Lepisosteus oculatus: one gene and its partners. The protein of the gene in region 3 interacts with the protein of the main gene of each other region in a biochemical or structural test. Links are inferred from orthologs where the notes say so. Each region holds a gene or a part of one and is shown on either strand. Other genes may lie near its edges.

Region 1 (6,523 bases), on a different chromosome or scaffold from region 3:
AATTAATACAAAATTACACATCGATGTAGAATAGTTACATACTGTCTTCAGAATGAAAGGATTGACGTCAGAAGATTTAAATTAATGCAATACGACTTATATGAATGTCACTATATAATATATATTGAGCAATATTCTCAACACATATCAGAGTTGATGTGTGTTTACAGCAGGAAAACATACAAGAATAATATTGCTATACTGCATATGTACAGTAGCGTGAAGTTTAATTATGCATTTTTCTAATTATGGTTTTCTTAATAGTGCATTATGATCGTTGGTGTTGTGTACATATTAGGCATATGTGAATGTTATTACTCATTTAATTTACTGGTATTAAGCATAAAGGCTAAAGGAAAATGTGTGTCATTTAAATAGAACAAAAGGCAAACAGAAGTGTGCTTGGATTTCTTAACAGAATACGTGTTAGGAGGAAAGGAGTGCTAAAATTAGTATTTCAGGGCAGAATTTGAATACTTAATTTATATGAGATTTACTTTAACGACTTCATAACCAACCTCGCCCCCCCAAGTCCAAAAAGAGAAAAGCTATAAGCAATATACCAATAGGTGAAAAAAGGTTTATTATAAAAAAGAAATAATATTTACATGTTTTTATTTTGTATCACATATATAATATAGAAAACAGCATAACTGAAAAAATATAAATTATTGAGGGCCCGTTTCGGGTTTTCACCACACAGCAGAGTTCCATACGTTTAGCCCATAAAGGCAGGGCTGTTGATCGTGGTAAGTCTTGTACATGGTCGCGAACAGTGACGCTCTTATCAAGTCCTCCTCCGTGCCCAAGCAAGGCAGTCCAGTGGCTCTTTTAAAGGGGTCTTTGCCATATTCGGTAGCCAGCTGTTTCCGTTTGGTTTTGTATCTCCTGTTTTGAAACCAGATTTTGACCTGTGTCTCCGTGAGCCGCAGGCTGTGGGCCAGGTGCGCCCTCTCCGGGGCCGACAGGTACTTCTGGTGGCTGAATTTCTTTTCCAGCTCCAGCACCTGCAAGTGCGTGAACGCCGCCCGGGAGCGCTTCTGCTTACCGCCTGAGCTCCGACTGTCCGCGGACCGGCCGCGGCCACACTCCGGGGAACTGCCACAAGGCGGTCTTTCGTTGCGGTCTGCGGGGACAAAATCATTTGTTCAGCTGTTTTTCGGTTACAACACATCATGCCAACAATGTTCGATTTCCTATAAGAAAGGCAACACAGATTACAGACTTTATTTTTATGAAAGGCTATATCATCCCAAGGCCATTTAAGGTTATAACTTAAGGGTAATGATAATGCATTGTTTTTTTGTTTTCATTTAGGTTATTACAACATACAGTGAAATTAATGGGATAATGACAGTCCTTAAATTGTTATTTTTTAAAAATGTCTGTCATTGATCAGGACTGACTAGATTTAACAGATGTTTCCTGTCGTTTACTAGCTACATTGTAAGAGCGCAGATTTCAGGTAGCCCAACGGACCGATATTCTAGTTTATCGATTATTTTACACCCTGGCATTCACAACAACTTTTACAATAAAAACGTCAAATTGCGCCTTTAGAAATGTAATGCAAACTGTCTAGAATGGTTCTGCGCAAATCCTTCTCCCATCACCCGAGATTTAAAACTTATTTCCCCTTCCTTCCCCACGAAGATGAATTTGTAACCCGTTTAGATCTTCCGTTCGGAAGTTTGCAGAAGACTGTGGAGTTTCCTCACCGTTTCCCACAGCCTTCAAGTCCGTCGAGGTGTTTTTGTCGTGTGAGCCAGTCTCACGAGCATGGCTGAAAGACTCCTGGATGTCTTCGTTTGTGGAATCTGCACACGCAAAAGCCCTTTCGCCAGTGGCGCACCGTGTGTCCCGACCTGCCGAGATGCTGTCGGGGCTTTTATCGCGTTCCCTCGGTTCTTTGGCACAGGCGTACCTTGGGGTGCTCAAGCGTGACTCTTCCTTAAAGGCCAAAATGTCTTGAATAAGAAACGACGTTAACGGTTTAACAGAAGCAGACATTCTGTCAGCCACACAGCAGCTTGGTCCCACAGCAAGAAACAGATTTTGTTCTATGATCAATAGGATCTTAAAACCGTTCTGCAGCTCTTTCCTTTGCGCCTCCTCGATTTATACAGGACTAATCGCAGACGTTGTCGTTCCTTCTCATTGGAAGGTGACTCATAGGGAGAATATCATTGGCTGGGCCGGAGCTAATGACAGAAACAGATCTGCTCAGTTCACACTTTTTTTTACCTGATAAATCACTACGGTGTTTTTATTTCGGATAGTCTATCCTTGCGCAGTGATGACATCTACAGTACTTTTCAATTTCATATGTTAATTGAGTTTCATATGTAGAAAATATGCATTGAACCTTTATTATTATTTATAGACAATCGCTATAAAGTTTTTTAAAAGATTTTCACGGATGTTAGGTCTGTATGTAAGATATGCATAGGATATTTATGATTGTAGGCAATCGTTACGTTTTTAAAATGTTTGAACGAATTTTAGTTTTATGGTAAAAAATACACATAGGACTTTTATGATTGTTTGTGGGCAATCGTTACGTTTTTAAATATTTTAACGGATTTCAGTGTTTTATCGTGATCTTTACGTTTTTTTCACTCACTGCATTTAAAAAAACAAACTGGGCATCCTCGCAGAAATTAAACCATATTAAGCTGCACTTCGCAAATAATAAAAAGAGAAATTTGCACTGATTAACAGTGAATGCGCGTAGCCGTAGCAAATGTTAGGATACGTGAAACATGAAATATTTCAAAATGACAGCATTTTTTTAAAAATTATGTAGTGAAACTGTAACATATTGTATGCACTAGACATGTTCTGCCTCACAATCAGTCGTTAAACGACTTAACGACTAATAATTCTTGCACCTGTACAGTTTGTTCATGAACAATTAAACGACACGAAGACAATTTCCCCATTTGTAATATTATTATTTCTAAATCAGGTTTCCATTTGCGCTGGCAGGTAGGCTTGGGGAAAATAAAAGTATTTTGAATACGCCTGTTAATATATGCGTTTGAAATGTTCAGATTTGACAAAAATCACCGTTTACATTAACGGGAATTTCATGCACAGGACGGATTAAATGCAGCAGAAAAGTAAAGCAATACGAAACTTTTGCTTATCAATGGCAATTAGTATTATTTGGAAAAATAATTTTATGTGAGGACTACAGTACAATACTACATTACTTGAAAAGCATCAATTTGCTTTGGTGGGAAAACTGTTTTTTCTTTCACTCTGTCTACAGAAATGCAATTGGTATTACCTTTGATGCCTTGTGTTGGAGCATTTTATTCAAAATATTTCTAAACTAAAATTATGGCTTTCTACAGCTTCACTGCATAATGACAAAGGATTGAGTAGATCAGACCATGTGCCATATTTGTTCTTATTACTTCTAAAATATAATGCTATATACTGTATATAACTTGTTACAAGTCATAAGGAAATGTTAGGCTATTAAATACCTACACACAGGTACACAGATTGAAGAGTCTGTAGGACTGCAGGACCACTGTGTTGGATTTATGCTTAACCACACGTTAATTGATTTCAGCTTTCTATTTTGAAAATATTTGTAAGTTTTGTAAACCGACTGAATTGGCAATTCAATTAGTATCAACCCAGTTCTGACTTCCGTTTTCAGAACCACCCTCGTTTGGGCACGGTGCCTGAAATGTAAGATATTAGCCCTCTGGAGGAGGCAGAAATCGTGGGCGTGTCTTCTACTGTGTCATTCCCACCTGCGGCTGTTCTTCCTCCGCTGATCAGGAGGCAGGAGCGGTTTTCATGAGAAGCAATGGCCGATGTGGTGACGGAGTGGATGAGGAACGTTTGTGCACTGACATATTTAGAAACCGAAATCCACGAAGTAGGTTATTTTTTACATTCAGTACTGACCAAGGCAATATGTTGAAAAAAAGTATAAACAAGCCCAATTAACCTGAACAGCCCAATTAAATCACCAATTAGCGCTGGAGATATAGAGCTCAGCTGGAATGGAATTCAGAAGACAGTGTTTCTCCAGGACTGGAGCTGGGAAGCCGTTCTGTAGACAATGGACTGTAGGCTTACTCTGTTACATTTGACATATCATTTAATACCAAATAACAGATTGTCTCCAGTTTACATGTTGACCATAGGTTGTGTATAATTGGATGTTAATGACTGATACACCACAACCAATTTAATTTAATAAGAACAAAGACATTTTTAACAAGAGCAAAGCAGTGAACTGCAGGAAGGTGGGTAAGTCTGTTGTGTGTTTTGTCTTTGAGCATTAATTAACCTACACTTAGATGTAACTAGCAAAATAACAGTAGTTTCTGAGGTTATAAACATGAGATAAGATAACGCCTCAAGGTCCTGGTGAGGGTTTAATTCATTGTTCATCCCAGTAAACAGATTACTGAAAAACACTGGTTCCTATGGCTGATACAACATCGTTCTTTCTCGTTAGTGCCATTTATTTTTTTTATTTTTTTTAGCTGTAGTGCTCATTTCAAGTTGCATCATGATGAGCAGTTCCAGAGTTGTGATGCATTTCTGTAGCCTTAGTTTTCACTTCAAGTGGAGCTGAGGATGCTGTTATTAAAGAGTATTGATGCTCATAAAAAAACAAAATGTGCTGAAATAATTTTTGGTATGGTGCCAACTGGCAACATTCAAGTGCAAGCTCCTGTGCGGAGCAGCATATAAGGGCTATTTGATTCTGAATACTGCTACACTGTATTTGGGTCCAGTCCAGAGTCATTTCAGAACCATCCATCTATTTCATTATTTTACAAAATGCTGATAAATGCTTTACCAAAAGATTTCCAGCATAACTATTTCAAATATATACAAACATAACCTAAAAACATATATCATTAATGTTGAGCTAGAATTACTTTCTGCAGTTATTTCTAGTCCATCTTTAATAAAAGTTTATCCTCTTTTAATTTACATTATGTGGTCTCTGGTGCAGAGTCCCCTAGTTGCTCTGAGGTCAGTGGTGTATGGTACATATATTGTGGAAGCACACAGTTTTTTTTTTCTGGTTTTGCATTCTGATATATTTTTACAGTGTTGGTTCTGTCCTCATACACCAGATTACCCAGCTACAGCGGGAGAAATTTCTCCAAAATTCAAAATATGTCAAGAGACATTTCAGTAAGGATTTCATATGGTTTTGCAGATCATTCAAAAATTTCACTTTGTGGGGGAAAAAAAGGCAATGGAACAACAACAACAATAATAATATAGAAACATAGGCATGGATGTTTTTTGGAGGGTGAGCCAGAGGACTCCAGACCAGAGGGTTGTGAGTTCAAATCCAGCTGATGCTATGCCTCCTAGCAAGGTATTTAAAGCAAACCCACCTGGTTTAATCTGAACCATCATTTGAGAAAATATGGTGATTGTAACCTCTTCAAGCTGCTTTGCTTAAAGGCATCAGATATATTAATTCATAAAGATCTTTACCACTTAATGATGTGACCTACAGCTTTGTGTCGTCAACAGAAGGCCTCTGAAAACAGTTGAAACTGGCTCGGAGAAGGAAACTGTGGTGTGTTAATGTCACCCCATCTGTTATACATCCCTCATAAATAGCTCGGCTATCATCATCATCACAAAGTAAAAATGTACAACTCAGTCAAAGTTAGACCCAGAATGTGTCAGATTGGGATTTCTTGTTTTTACTAGCCTGATATTGTATCTGTGGCATTATTTGTGTAGCATAGTTGTTGTTTACTTTTACAGGGCGGAGAATGAAGAATTTTTCTGGGTCAGGGTTAAAGTGAGTAGTTTATTTGTTTTTCAAGATGTTTCTAAATATTTCCAAACTACTAACAATGTCTGGTTAGAACCTGAACCAGTTTAATTATCATCATCATCATAATCTTATGGCATTGCTATTTTGATTTTTATCTGTTTGGGTATTTCTTGATGATGTATTAACCACAAGTCCTGTCTATGTATCTGGTTATGGTACCTTAATAAACACAGAGTCATACCCTTTAGGTCACCCAGGAAGTTTTGTTTCACAGAACAGTCCTATGTGTCATGCAATTCTTTTTTTTTAATCAAGTGATTTGCTGTTTTCTGTACAAGATACCACCCAACACCAACATTGAATATTAACGAAGTCAATGTAGATGCTTCTTAGTGCAGTGTGTATCGCGCTAAAAATTAACTTCTTCTGAATGCCATGTAAGTAAAAAGAACTGATATTTTTGGTTGAAGAAAAAGGAATTATGCAACCCTCCTCCCTCCTACCCTGTGTGTTCAGTAGGAATGAATGAAATGTATTCAATGCTGGCTTGTACAGGACAGTTGTAAGATAAGACTATCTCCCAGATAACAACTCAACACAGCTCTGGATACAGCTCCTGGGACTCTTATCTGTTTGGCTGGTAAACAGCTGTGAAAGATTTATTGTGCAACGGGATAGCTGTAGTATTTTCAGATGTGCCCTGAGTGTCAGAGCACCCTCACCCTGGGTTCTGGGGAGTGA
Region 2 (7,781 bases), on a different chromosome or scaffold from region 3:
GACCGTGAGGGCAGCTGTACCTGTTCTACTGTTGAGTAAGATGGGCCAGGAGTTTCATCGTCCCACGGCGCTTGGCTCAAGCCACTGCCTGCCACGCTGAGGGAAGGGCGATTCCGCTCTCCAGAATCAGCTTCATCGGCCGAAATGGTAATGACTGATGAGTCCGAGCTGCTGCCTTCTTCATAAGACGGTGCAGGGCAGTCATAAATGGCATGCTGGTCATAGGCATCCATATTGTAAGGGGACCGTGCAAAGCTGATAAACTCATGTAGGAAGTGGTCAGTGCGAGTCAGCAAGAAGGGCCGCAGCTCATCCTGGATGGCTTGGTCTTCCATGTTGTATCTAGTGATGCGGGACATGATGATGTGTTGCACAATGTTCACCAGAGAGCCATGAGCACCGTAAAGCACAGTCAGCTCCCTTTTCAGCCAGGGCACGAGACGGTGTAGACAAGCTGGGTTCCTCTGGAAGAATTCAGCAGAGATGTCCCGATAGCGCCCCCCATCTCGGACACTCCTTACCCGCACGCCAGTGCGATACAGAGCCCGCCTGAAGTTGATGATCTCTTGTTCCCGCATGTGACGCACAGACCTTCCCTCAATCTGGGCTCTCCTCCTTGCAGCCAGCCTCAGCATCATGCGGTGAATTCCTCTGTTGTGCTGCTGCGCGGATGCACTGCTCAGGCTTTCAAACATCACCCCATTGTCTGGGGGTGGCGATGTCCTCCTCGGGGGATTGAACTGCCTGCGCTCTCTTGTCAAGGTGGTGCGGTACCTGAACCGATGCCCGTCTGGGCTGCCAAAAGAGCCGTTTTCCGTCGGGCGCAGGACGAATTCCTTGAAGTCGTCCTCGGCTTTTACGGTGTGGAAGATGGAGTTGAAAGGCTGCTTGCATAGCGGGCACTCTGCTTTGTTTTTGGACCACTCATGTATGCACCGGAAGCAGAACTTGTGAAGGCAGCGGTCCAAGTGTGCCATGTTGTTGAATTTGTCCAGGCAAATGGGGCATTTGGAGTCTGGAGATGCTTCCACCAATACAGTCTGTGACACTTTGCTGGCTCCATCTTTGGGGGAAAACTTCTTGCGCATCCTCAACTTCTTCTTGGTAGATGCCATCACCTCAAAAATAAAAAAACAAAAGCGTGTTACAATTTATAAAGTATATTTCAACACTATAATATACCCCAGTGTTGTGCAGTCTTTTTTCAATATCTTAAAAATAACAGAGAATTTCAAACCACAAAAAATCATCATAAAGTGCAATAATAATTAAAACAGGTATTAGCTGGAGTGAAATCATTCCTTAAATACTAGATTGAAATATAGGTGTTTAGAAATAAAAGGGACATCAACAATGCATCCACATATCAGTGCATTTGTAGATGTCTCAGCTTTTAGCAGTCAGCCAAAAGGCTTACAAATCAAGGAAAAAAGATCTTGAAACCCTGCAAATTGAAGAACAATGCCACAACTTTGTTGTATTCAATAATAATGAGTCTTTTTAATTAAAAAGAAAAGTTCTGTTCCTACTTAATTAAGAAGTTCGTTCCAATAAACAATCATGAATGCCTCAGAGTCCAAGTACATTTAGTTCATTAAGCTATTAGAAACCAAAGAAGAAAGATCGGTTGAATGACATCTGATTTGTTTGAACACATTTCTTATGTTCTAGTTCACGCTATCTCACAGATTAAGCATCTGAAAAGTATGAATACCTTTCACACCTCAAATATCGGGTTAGTGTGACCAAAACATTTAATTAAATAGGCCTCCTTAGACATTTTACTTTGCACAAAACTAAGTATTATACAGTCTGACAAGAATTCAACTATAAATAATGAGGCTATCGTCTTGGATAACATAACTTCTGTATTATATGCCACTGGAAAAGATATCCTAGTGTGGCACCTGATGCTGCTGAAACTGTCCCAGTGACTGAGGCTCACAGACAAGAACGGCAAAAGACACTACTACTTAAAACAGCTCTGTGTGCCAAAAAGTGTATTTTTTGCAGTTGTGTATTACCGAAATCATTAGATTTACTTTATGTAACTCCTCAAAACAAATGTACTTGTTTTGGATGAGCATGCAAATCGTTTTGGCATTTCTGCTCCATTTTTTTACAGTAAATGCAGAAATATAGACAGTCTGACGTATCCAGACGTCACTGAAATTTCGCCATGTCTCCTTCTCTTACGAACCTAGCTTATCTCGGTTATATAAACGATACGACGACTTGAACAAACCTGTTAATATTTTAAGCATTCTATATATGCCGTTCAATAAATACTTTGGCAAAATTGAATAAGTGCTAATTTTTTTTTTTACTAGACCGTAACGATATATTTCACCAAAACGACAAACGTTCATCAAACCCTACAGGCATAAAGCCTCCCATTGTAAAATAAACTACACAACTGTACAGTATGTTTATGGGTACATGTACTGTATGTGTGCCAGAAAATATGCTAAAATACAATTAACACAGCTAAAAATAAATACAGTACTGTGAACTTTGAGCAGGCTGCCTGTATTATTCCTTAAAAACTAGTATTACAGCGAAAGCAGGCTGGACATTGAGCCAGCGGAACTGACACTGACACAGTGACATTCCGGCTGACTCTCGATAACCAACACAGTGCAGGCGTCGCCGTCCACAAACGTGATTCCGTGTTGAAATCTAGGAACCACACGCAACTAAAAACTATCGATTGTCATTTTCCTATCTGCACCCCCGGAAAGACCTGGGAACAAGTACTGGAAGACATTTTGATTAGACTGCCACTTCTCCCCCGACCTGGTTAAACATGGCAGATACCATTATGCACACATTGGCTAAATATCTACTGAAATACTAAATATCTACTGAAATATTGTTGGTACATAATAACCATAATAACCCTTCCTTTCGCATTGTAGAGGCCTAAGTGACTGGGTTATTTCCCGAAATAGCATCTCGTAGTCTTAACCCCGCCTAGGAACTAGATAACCAATACGTACCAATACACAACTCGTTAGCCCACCATAGTTCCTTAAAACTGAACTAGCAAACGACATGAAAGATATACAAGAAAGAATAGGCAGAGCAAAAGCTTTCTTACCTACCAAGAGCAGCTGAGTGGCTCTTTTAAGTTTTGCTTTTTTTATGCCACTGCGCCGGTCTTTCGCGGGCACGGTGCGTCAGAGGAAACGGTCACCCGTCACAGACATCACAATCAAACGTCATGTAGGACAGACTTCAAAGTTAAACGTCATTCTCACCTACCAAGATGACAAAAAATCGCCGATATCCGTGTTATGGATACAACAATTTCTCCCCACAGCGAGCCTGCAGTTTTAGGCCTGCGCTGCGAGACGGGGAGGGAGGGCTCGGTTAGCGAAGGGGAGGCCGTGGCGCTCCTGCCCCCTGGCGGCCCGGAGGAGCCAACGCGTACAGGGCCTCTGGTGGGGTCACCCACCCGTGACCGCGCAGTTTTGAGTCGCTTTCAACTGCTTATTCGTCAGCAGCGACAATATGAGAACACTAATTCATACACACAGAAGTATGGGTGACAATATGATTTCTCTCTCAGGAGTTACTCTTAAGACACAGTGTACGATTGCACTGACGTCTCCCGCGGGGAAAAGCGGCGGAGTCTACATCTATACGGAGAGCATAAGCGGAAAAAAATGTGGAAGTAAAACAAATCATGTTAGTGACAGTGCGACCTGTTTTGTTTACTTACAGTCATGCTGACTGTTTATTACTAAACTAATTAGAACAACATAAAGGGTTTGATGAATGAATCTCAACTTAAGGCATTATCCTACCCTTTGAATATTGTTCACAAGTGGTTTTATTTGCGTATTCCAAATATTTAATATCGACAGTGAATAATGTTCGTAGCTTCAACGAGCTAAATAATTGGCTAAATCTTGCATTTGCGGATTCATATGTAAAAAAAATAAGATTTGGGCATTAAAATAGCTGACGCCCGGTGGCGCTGTGGGTGAAGTCTCTTTGGAAATCAGTTGGCTTTCCGCAATGCAAGGCGGTGTTTACTCGGACTAACCCGCAGCGTGTTGATGGTGTCGTTTTTTTAGACAAAGGCTGTTGCTACTGGTGAAAATTTATTAGACAGAAGCTGTCCGGAGGTGCCAGGCGGGTACAAGGTGTTCCTGATGTGAGACAACATGATTTATGTCAGCCGCAGAGCTCTCGACAGGATGTACTCACTCGTAAGTGACCGACAAACCTGTCCTTCATAATGTACGTAATGAAACCGAGAATATAGTTTTTAGGTTCGCTTCTGTAAAATTGCACCATTTAAAAAGGACGGGGTGCAGGGAGTTGATCAGTTCTGCTGCGATGTTGTTTTTTGCCCCTGTATGTGAACTCTGAGCATTCAAACTCCCCGTGTTGTTATAAATTCAAACTGTAAGCGTCTTACCCTAATGCACAACTCATTCCAATATATATTTTTTATGTTTCCTACTTTAAGTGGCTTAAAACCAACTATTGGGGGGGAACTCAAGCCTTAAAATTTAGTAAAACGGATGGATGTATTTCAGTGTTCAGTATCTTCAGAAAGTCCGTTCTGAGCCATTTATTAGTTTTACGATTCTCAACAAATTAGTCTGAGGTTCAAATCAAGTTCCGGCAAAACTGTGTGCAGATTTTGCTGTTCAGACATAAATTTATATTTTAAATACTATTTGTAATATTGTAAAAAAAAAACAAATTTTAAAAGCCGGTTATGGCAACTGTTATTGTTCATAGTTTCCAGTATTTTTGTTTTCAAATTATGGAAAAAGCATTCAACTCTTATTAGTGATTATTCAGGGGGCAAGAGATTTAATTTTCAGTGTGATTTATACAGCAAGCATTTTCATACAAATTCATTAAAAGACTTATGTTGAAGTTTAATGGTTTTATTTCTAAGGTACTCTTGGCAGTGGTACTCCTGTCCTGGGGATACGTCATATATGGAACGAGAATAGCAGCACAGTGGCAGCTGGAAAAGCAATTCAAGATCAATAACTGAAGTCCCTGAGGAACTGAGGCGTGTGGACGGAGGGGGTTAAATGTACCACCCAGACCAACCTGCAAAAGGAAGATGAACCTTATGGATAAATAAACTTTCTGCGAGATGGAATGAACTGTATTCAATTCAATTTATGTCTGTATAGCACCTTTCACAACAAGGCACTTAATGCAAGTAACCATACATTTTGTGAATACAGAACAGAAGACAACAGAGGAGAGGAACCAAAAACTCCTTAGTAAGAAGAAAAAAAACCTCTAGGTGTCCAAGGTCAACTGGCTGCCCAACCCCTTAGGGCATGCTAACATTATATAGTAAAAAAAAAGGAAATGAATGAGGGTATTAATCCATGATGTTTTCTGTATGTCAGTACTCCATGCACATCTCTGTAGACCAGCAAAATCCTCCTAAACGATAGCTATATCCACGATGTCCCTCTGGGATCCAAAGTATTTGCAGCTCGAAGTACTTGTGCACCACTGAAGATCAACACAGAATGTTCTTAATATGCTTCATTGTGGTTTAAAAAGAATCCATATAGTGTCATAGCATTTCAATCTTCTGGTTTAACAAAGATTATTTAGAACTTTGTGATCTTTATGCGTGTTAAAAATATGCCTTCTCTACTTCATTGCAGGACAATCAATTGGGACTTTCATACTTTTTTCAAGACCTTACCCAGCCATCAAGATACCCCATTAAATAGGCAATTAAGACCAAAGCTAAAAGAGAGAAAGCTGAAGAGTAGCTTTAAAGTTTTAACAATTTATTATTCAGGCAGTGATAAAGGGTTTTAGTACTTAATTTGGGAAAAGTATCGTAATGGCTGTTTAGATAAGACAATCCTATACTTTATATCCTAACCTAACTGCTGGGAGTAATTGACACTGTAAAGGCTCAAGACTGATCATGCAGTTTGTGTAACTTCTAAGTAGGCATTGAAAATACCCTGAATTAACATTTATGAAAATTAAAATCCTTAGGTAAATAAACTGAGGTGAGAGAAGTACAATCTCTGTATTTCTGATGTTTGTCCGCCACACGATCTGTTAAGGTTAGGATTTGCTGCCCCTTCTGTTGTAGGATTTCAACTCAAACAGATCAACTGTACATGGCACAAAACAGAAAATGGACAAATAAAATGAAGGTGGCATTTGTAAATTAGTTTTATTGTTAAATAAAATCCTTTTAACCTCAGAAAAGTACACGTGGCTTTTTCTGTCTTTTAGGAACTTGTTCAGTGGTGTCCAAAGCTTTCCATTTCCGGGAAGGGAGGAAGGACCTCTCCAGTTTCCATGATTGTGTCCCCCTAAAATAAATCAAGCAATACGAATCACACGGGATTGCTCAACACTTTCATACCTGCTTCCTCCAGAATAACTAACTTCAACATGCTGAATTGCCTTCAGCATTAATTTCCTTATGAACCTTATTTGGCTGACATCCTAGTTCACACAAATGTTTGTCAATGAATTTGGAGATGAAAGTGAAGGCACAACGGATTAGTCTTCCATATGCAGATTTTCAGTATTCAAACACTATTAAGCGCTACATAAGACATGGGATACTAGACAAGGTAAATAACACTTACAGGGAACAGCCTTGGTTTTGCTTCTACAATACCATATGGTTTCATCTAGAATAAAGAGAACAAATGAAGAACAGATCATTAGAATCCATAACTGCATGCAAAGCTGTATTAAAATGAAATACACAGGTAGCCAATACATAGTTACATACTATAATATATTCTAAAAGAAAAATGGCTTTGTGCTGCTACTCATCTGCCAATTGTGATGGCAATTTATATTTGTATTTAGTACATCCCAAACTTACCGCAACATGATACTTGACATAATAATGACAAATCCAAGCAGGAATTATCAGCTGAGTTAAGGACCATTTTCCAACCCGGTAGGCTTTATAAGTCTGAAAAGAAAGGCTTGTGTTAAAAATAGTTCAATTCAAGCTTATTATTATCCTCTGGGGAAAATTATGTTATGACACACCGCAGTACAACAATAAGAATAAGGAAGACAGTCAATACTTGAGATTCCTTTTACACCCGGGGACACAGAGGCATCTCCCAGATGTGACAAGTTTAAATTCAGAATGGAGGGGGTGAGACACACACCTCATAATGCTCTTGGCCTTCTGTACAACTTTTTGTTTGTAGAGGATATCTTATTTGATTTTTCACAATTATTTTGCTACTTATTTTCACTAATTTTCCCCCAACTCAATTCATTTAATGACACTAATGCTGCCAAACCAACAACTGAGACAGTGTGATAAGACACTTTCAATAAAAGTGTTAAAATATTTCTAAAAATATTTATAGTTCTTAAAATTGTTCTAGAAATAGGTGAGTTTCAGAAGGAAAAAAAAGAGTCTCTGTTGGTCTTTTTCTAAATGGTGTCACATTTGTCCAGTCTTAGGTTTTTATCTGCAAGTCCACTCCCAAGTACTTGGTAGTCACTGACAATTTTCTCCACAGACCATTAATTACAGCAGGTAAGATAAGATCACTTTATTGGCCATATACAAGTTCTTGTATTAGGAATTTGTCTTTTCGCATACCCCAACTTGCTCTCCATGAGACACACAGACAGGGAGAGAAGCTTGGGGTCAGAGCACACGGTCAGACACTTATACGTCACCCCTGGAGCAGTTGGGGTTAAGGGCCTTGCTCAGGGGCCCAACAGAGTAGGATCCCTCTGCCGGCTGCGGGATACGAACCAGCAACCTTCCAGCCACA
Region 3 (7,150 bases):
GAATTACTAGGATCACACATGAGGCTCAGCATGTGCCTGCCTTCAATCTCACACACTAGAGCCCAGGGAAACTTTAAAACAGCCCAGTGTAAGCTCTGGTTTGAATAGTGCTGCACCTCTGGTCTGCAGATTTCTGTGCGAGACAGGAAAGAACGCAGTCACTGGCCTACCTCTATTAACACTGCACGCGTATACTTCAGGATAGGAGAATGATTGCAGTGTGGAAAAAAACAAAACAAAAAAGAGTCACCTCCAAACAATCACAACATGCTTTCTCAACAGCGACATTGCATTCACTCACACAACCACAACTCCAAGGCCCACCAGCAATTTCTTTCAGTTAATTTCATTTTAGGAATAAGAAGTTGGATTTTTTGTATATAGCGTAGATAACTGTAACACTTTTCAGTCATTCAGGGCCTCGGTGGTGGTGGTGGTTGGGGTAAACCAGGTTTAGCTAACTATGCTAACACTGCTACCGCCCATGCAACACATTCACAACTCCAGAGATAGGATGCCTGGAACAGTCTTCCATAGAGGGGGGAGAAAGAAAAACCGAAGTCGCCTTTTGTCGACTTTAAGAACATTTTACGTGATTGATTGCGAGCGATTTTTCAGCAAATTAATTTTTAACATGCACTGTAAACAGAACCGTGTGGCAACTAAAGTGCAACATAAAGACAAGATTATTCTCTAACCAGTGTGCCGTCGGCCACATTTCAAAATGTTTAAAATGGAAAGACGGCCTTCTCCAAGGAAAACAGAGAAGTACTTCTCAAACAAGCAAGACTATATACTGAACTGAAGTTTCATCCTCGGTCCCAAACGGTCGCTGAAGTGAGGGTTGAAATGAAAAAAAAAAACGATACCTGCTTTCCATACAATAATACACTCCCTTTAACCCCCGACACAAAAACATTTCTTAAATGCGACTTGTGGAGAAAGTGCTGCTCATCACCGACGACAAACTAGTCTCATAGAATGTAAGCAAGCAGGTTAAGTAAGCTGAAAGACAACTAAAAAGACAAAAATCAAATGGATAAGTTTAAGCAAAAAATAAAATAAACAGTACAACAGAATCTTCCATTTACATTTTGAAATTCAGCTACTCTTTATTAGCCCTAACTTTCATTAAAGGGTAATTAAAATTACACTGAACAGTTTTATAATTTCTGGAAAACCCGGGATCTCCAGGCTGTACAAAGTTTTTTTAAAAAAGGAATGCAGATGACAACGATGTTTCCTTTTTACATAGGTGCCCAGTAAACACACATTTTGTGCAATCCAACACACTTTGATTTTAAAACTAAAAAGTTGTCTCTGACAGCATAGGTCACCTCTACAGGGAGGTTCAAAAGTCTGGAGGTGGAAGACGTTGGAAACATATTTTAATAAAACAAAATAATTCAATTTATATCTTAGCCTCCTGGTCAAACCTGAAGTTCAAAAGCATATTTCACCAAATGAGGTTTTGCACAAATCCTTACCACCTTCAAAACCCCAGCATCCTTTTGGTTAAAATGACACAATGGGTAACACTGTTAAATTCACAAAACTATGCTGTTTTCTTAGAAACCCAATTCAAGGCAGTATTCTTCAAAATGCAGCCAAAATAAAGTTCACTGTACTATTTTCTCCGGTTACCTTTTTTCATAATAAGTTTGAAAGTTTATAATTCAACAGCTAATGGTGGTATTCAAAAATTACGAGGGTTCAATTAAGGAAAACATCCTTCATTAATGATAGTAAAATATAACTGTGCACTTTTAAACTACCCCTCTGGCATTAACGTTTGAACCCCAAACATTGCCAAGGGTCTGTCTAAAAAAAATATTTTAAACATTATGCCACAAACCGGTGTGATATTCTAATAACGGCGGACAATTTAAAGATCACATTCTTAAAAAAATAAAAACTGAAAATAAATGTAATTAAATACCCCTCATATTGCACTGTGATAAAGAAAAAGGAAAAAAAAAGACGCGTTCATTCCTACAAACCGTTCCTAAGAAGATCCCCATACCTCCATATCACGGCGATCTGCACTTTGTGTTCTCGGCACTGAGAGACTAAGCACAGAAAAAGAAAATGGCGCAGAGACTAAGTCCTCAACCCCCAAACCCCAACTTTCGGCACCAAAATACGCCCTTATAAGCCCCTTCCAGAAGCAATCGGGGGACATTTTGGGAAAAACAATATCCATCCCTATCAGAATCCGGGTTCATCTGGAAAAACGGAGCATTTTAAGTGTGGTTTATAAGCCCTCCATTTGAACAATAGGAGCTTGAGAGTAAAGGAGAAGGGACTTAGTCTCTGGGACGCCATTTCTGTCCTTAAAAAACTAACTACAGAATACAGGCTCATCACTAACGGGAGTAAAATATAGAAAATGAGCAAGTATAATTACATAACATTTGGTGGGGACACAATACTTACCATTAACTCGAGATCCCGTGTCGATCTGAAAAAAAATATTTATAGATGTCAAGCTATTATTAAAAATATATGTACAGTAAGTTTCAACTAAGGTTATGCGAAAATGGCTTTTCATAGATTGTTCTAGCACAAAAATGGCTTTAAACTTCTTATAAAGTTATTAGTTAACCACCAACACCTCCTAAAACCAACGTACTCTCTGATCGCGGACACGAAGCAATTTTGTTCAATTTTCTACCATCAATTTTCACTATATTACAGCTTAAGGTTACGATTTAAACCTTATCTGTCAAAGCCGAGGTCTACTGATCATGACACAACATATTTCATGTAACGTTACCTGGGAGTCGTTGTGAACTTGATCCCCACTCATTTCCTGGTTCCTTATTTTAAAATTAAAGTATGAAATGTCTTGAGAGCAATTGCCGGCGAGGAGCAGTAAGCAGAATGGAGAAAGAAACAGTTGTGTAACAGACTAAGTCCCACTTTTTATTCACTGCGCATGCTCAGCTCGTTTAAATGGGTAAAAAAAAATGCGTCTCGGCCTACTGGCTCCTCCCCATTTTGCGTGCACACACCAGCACTGCTAGTGCGAGCGTGGGGAGCCGCTAGCCATGTGGCAATGAAGATCTCCGCGGCCGATGTGTGAATGTGCCGTGCCCCTGCGCCAGCTCCAAGAAATACACACACGTGGACGCACCTAGGAAACGACTCGTGGGGTTTCACCAGCGATGTAACCCCCACGTCACAAAAGCGAGCGCACGGCAGGAGCTGCGCGTCACGTTGGTAGATATTGTACCGAGTTTCGCTATTATTAAAAACGGGAGTTGTTAAGACCGACCAGTTGTTGTTGTTTTTTTTTTTCCCGCGTGTCACTGTGTTGATTGAAATATCCTTTTCGTTGCAGTTGCCAAACTGATTTTCTTTAGACAATAGTACAAATAACTTACTCTGGATTATTTTCTAACAAAGGCATGTTAGAGAGACATGTACATTAGTCATAGCACGCTTGTTTTTAAAGAGTTTGAAGGGTTATACTCTGCCAGGGTACACCCCTACTCTTTTCGAGAAACTACCTGGGATTTTTAATGACCGCAGAGAGTCAGGACCTCGGTTTTTTTACGTCTCATCCGATGCCTTTTTGCAGTAGTTTCCCCATCACTATGCTTGGCATTGTGTCCCTAATTGTGAAGAGTGTTTGTATCCGGTTGAATCGATTTGGTGGAGCAATACTGTTCTGATGTGATTTCAAGGTAGGTTTCCAGTAGCTCTGATGCTTTTCTGTTTCCTTGTTTCTAGTTCTCATCATGGGTGCATAATCAAAGCTGCATGAGCCAAATAACATTGAATGCCAGCAAAGGCCATATTATCAAATACAGGCTCTGTTTACTCTTCATAAGATGTAAAATCCCGTACTTGAGAGATAAATAAAGGCTCTGTTCTTTTGCCCCTGAATAAAGTGAGCATGCAAGAGCTTCTGAAATTAAAACCAGATACCATGATAAACAGAAGCCACAGTGTTACATCATAGCTTCCTTTCTGCTGTTGCAAGTCACCTGGGCTGTAATGATTGAGGTCATGTTTTTCAGAATTTCTCAAAAACACAGTTCCTTTTTTAAACCTGAAATTCCACTGACACAACAATATTGCCTTCCTCTCTAATTGTTGTCAAAACACAGTTGCACATTAGAGATTCACTGCTATCACAACAATAGGACTTGGTTTTACTATGACAAACACAGGTGACATTAGCAGCAAGAAAAAGACAGTATAAATACAAGATATAACATGCCTTCCAGTAGTTTCAAGACAGAACACCAGGCCACTTTTGAGAGTAAAAGATCAAGGAAATCATGAATGTTGCACATTCCATGTCAGATTTGACAGGTTAACCTGTCAAGGACAGACAAAACTTTATAAAAATAGCATATAATTAAAGGTGTTTATTTTATCTACACTTTGAATAACAACTTGTGGTAAGCCTCGTGTTGCCCAGTGTAAAATGAGAAGTTCAAGTGAAGTCATTCATGGTTTATTCTGGGATGATCTATAATTGTGAATTTTATGTACTCTCGTGACTCCTGTAACAGTCAACTGGACACATAAAAGATCACAGTTTGAAAATTAACACCCTGACATCTGGAAAAAAAAATGTAATAACAACATTCAATTTTTTCTTTTATTCCATCCATCATTTAAATACTACAATACAGGGTAGAGGAGGAGCCAGACCATATCCCAGCAAGCTTTCTTCTTTTCTTTCTAATATTTAATATATTAATTGTCATGTACACATGCAAACACTTTGCCTGCAGATCTTAGTGGCGATCTTTGTGAATTCATAAACCGGTTCGGTTGAAATGGTTCAGATAATCATCAGGTTCTCCCTTCTTCACTCTGATCTACTTGTGCGATGGCATTCCAAAGCAGTGGATCAGATAGAAAAAAAAACAGAGAAAGCAACAAAGTGATGAACTCTTATCAAACAGCCCTTCGCCCATCCTTCCATCCTTTCATTTTCAAGATGGGACACACCATCGCAGGACAAACACAGACAGGAACACACACTCACACCCGGGTCAGTTTTCCCAGAAGTCCGTTAACCTGTCAGTATGTCTTCATACTCCGGGTGGAAACAGGAGCACCTGGAGGAAACCCAGATCAACGCGAGGAGAACACACAATCTTCATACAGCAACCCAGTGGCTCTGTGCTGCAAGGCAGAATGCTAACCAATGCGCCTTCATGCTCCCCTTTATAATTAAGCAAGTGAATTAATTTATCTCAGAACGTAAGCAATGCAAGATATCTGATTGACAGTGAGACTAAGATAAATGAGGTCCAAAGAGAAGCTGGAAGCTGTTAAAAGTTCTTAAAAAACAGAATACACCATCAGTCAGTGGCACACCCAGGAATAATGGAATAATCTCAGCACCAACTGAGCATATACCAGCAAACAGCTTGCATGTCACAGCTTGCATTCTCAAACGCAATGCACAAACTGGACCTGGGAGTGAGGAGTGCTCCCCAGTAGATGTAATCATCTATTATAATTCACAGTAAACAAATGTTTATCGATAGGTTTATCCTTATTTTGTGATGCGAAAGATGATCATCTACAATGTTATTTTTTTAAACATTTGGAGTTTATTAGTGTCATTAGGCAGAAAACAAACACAAATCTAAAAAGCCCATCTTACAATACCTTGTGGGTTCAAATCCCATATGGGACACGGTGAAATTCACAAATATTCTCTCCGAAACCTGTCTATAGTGTTTATAAGCAAAATTGAAGAATAAGAATATAAGAGTTTAAAAAGTCATCAAAAGCATTAACAAAAATTGCAATTTGTTTTCCAACAAAGATACTTTCATACACTATTCTAATAACTAAATTAACATTTTGAGAAATTTGCAACTGCAGCTTTTGGTTTGATACCTCTAGATTTTAACCTTCTATTACAGTGTATATAGCCAAGGAAACGTATGTGTGTGTGCATTCATATGTACAGTGTTAGATATATATACACAGGAGTTCAGAGTGCTTCTTCCAGTGCATAGTTGCTTTGCAGTGAAAAAAGGCAACTGCTGGAGGTGAAAAGCATACAGTGAGAGGTGCAGTGTATTGAAGAGCTCGTTTTAAGCTGTTCCTTTCAGTCCAGTTTGGTCCAAAGGAGGAAGCCCTAAGGCGTCAGCTCTTTGACATTCTACTGGTGCAGCAGGAATGGCTCGGGAACCAACCAACAAGGGCATTAAGCTTGCGTGAAGTGGTAGCAGATGAGTGTGTATGCGAAAAAGGCCTATACTACAAATTACAAGGTGAGTAATTCCCAGATGCACTTTTTGATGTCCTCTTGGAGACATGCAATGCAGGCATACACATTTGCAAACTGTCACATGTGCAGATTGACAGCATGCATTTATCTAAACAAAGCTTTTCATTGATTTATTAGATGTAACAAATGCCCTTTTACCCAAAGAAGTGGTATCCAAGATGTTCTACAGAATTGGCTTAAGATAAATGGGTGTTAACATTCATATCTGCCTGTGTATGTATTTAAAAACCATTTATGGCCTGAAAGGACTTTAAAACATCACTAAAAGAAATCTATAAACTCTGAATCTGGGCTTCTGGCATGGCAGCACTGCAGAGTCATATCAAAATACATTAGCCTGCAGAATCCAGGTGGACACTGGCCAGAGTTCATCTTCCAACATGCCAGATGTGAATTGTGTGCCAGTAAAATAAATGAATCTCGACCACATTCAAGGTGCACACTCCGCAAAGTTTTTCTTTGCATGAATGAAAAAGCATTGCTTTTTTAATTTCACCACACGGCTGTTTTTTCATTGAACGCTTTGGTTCTTTTTTCCAGCTGAATCATTAGTCAGTGACGTGTCTCACTCTTCCTTGAAAAATGTATAAAATGGATCATTTTATGCCTATAATAAAACACTACATGCACACCTTAAATAAATCCATCATCCAATAACCAAACAACATCAGGACATTACGCATTGCTGCACACATGGCTTATGGACCTCTAGCTCCTGTTGCCTGTAAATATTACTCTATTATATTTTTGACTTTTTTTTCCCATCAAAAGAAAAATCTCTAATTGTTTTGCAAAGAGCAATTCTTACTTTATGCACAAAAACAAAAATTCAGGCCATGAAAGATTAAGAGATCACAATATAAGATCAGTTACGGACCC

Evidence for each region.
Region 1: the proteins of DNA topoisomerase 1 (region 3) and nkx3-1 form a complex in vitro, tested with the Homo sapiens proteins (2 studies listed by BioGRID and IntAct). The link is inferred for Lepisosteus oculatus from reciprocal best matches to the Homo sapiens genes TOP1 and NKX3-1.
Region 2: of the proteins of DNA topoisomerase 1 (region 3) and toporsa, one has a biochemical effect on the other in vitro, tested with the Homo sapiens proteins (2 studies listed by BioGRID). The link is inferred for Lepisosteus oculatus from reciprocal best matches to the Homo sapiens genes TOP1 and TOPORS.

What each region holds. Positions count from the first base shown.
Region 1 is NC_090697.1:72,162,863-72,169,385, reverse strand, and holds nkx3-1 (homeobox protein Nkx-3.1), read right to left. Parts: upstream 2,103-6,523; 5' UTR 2,011-2,102; coding exon 1,719-2,010; intron 1,127-1,718; coding exon 693-1,126; 3' UTR 567-692; downstream 1-566.
Region 2 is NC_090696.1:72,086,935-72,094,715, reverse strand, and holds the start of toporsa (topoisomerase I binding, arginine/serine-rich a), read right to left. Parts: upstream 3,092-7,781; 5' UTR 3,057-3,091; coding exon 3,000-3,056; intron 1,119-2,999; coding exon 1-1,118. Other genes in the region: ndufb6 (NADH dehydrogenase [ubiquinone] 1 beta subcomplex subunit 6), read right to left, coding at 6,261-6,332, 6,615-6,659, 6,860-6,952. UniProt on the Homo sapiens protein: Functions as an E3 ubiquitin-protein ligase and as an E3 SUMO1-protein ligase. Probable tumor suppressor involved in cell growth, cell proliferation and apoptosis that regulates p53/TP53 stability through ubiquitin-dependent degradation.
Region 3 is NC_090711.1:6,856,943-6,864,092, forward strand, and holds the start of DNA topoisomerase 1, read right to left. Parts: upstream 3,063-7,150; 5' UTR 2,810-3,062; coding exon 2,777-2,809; intron 2,462-2,776; coding exon 2,437-2,461; intron 1-2,436. UniProt on the Homo sapiens protein: Releases the supercoiling and torsional tension of DNA introduced during the DNA replication and transcription by transiently cleaving and rejoining one strand of the DNA duplex.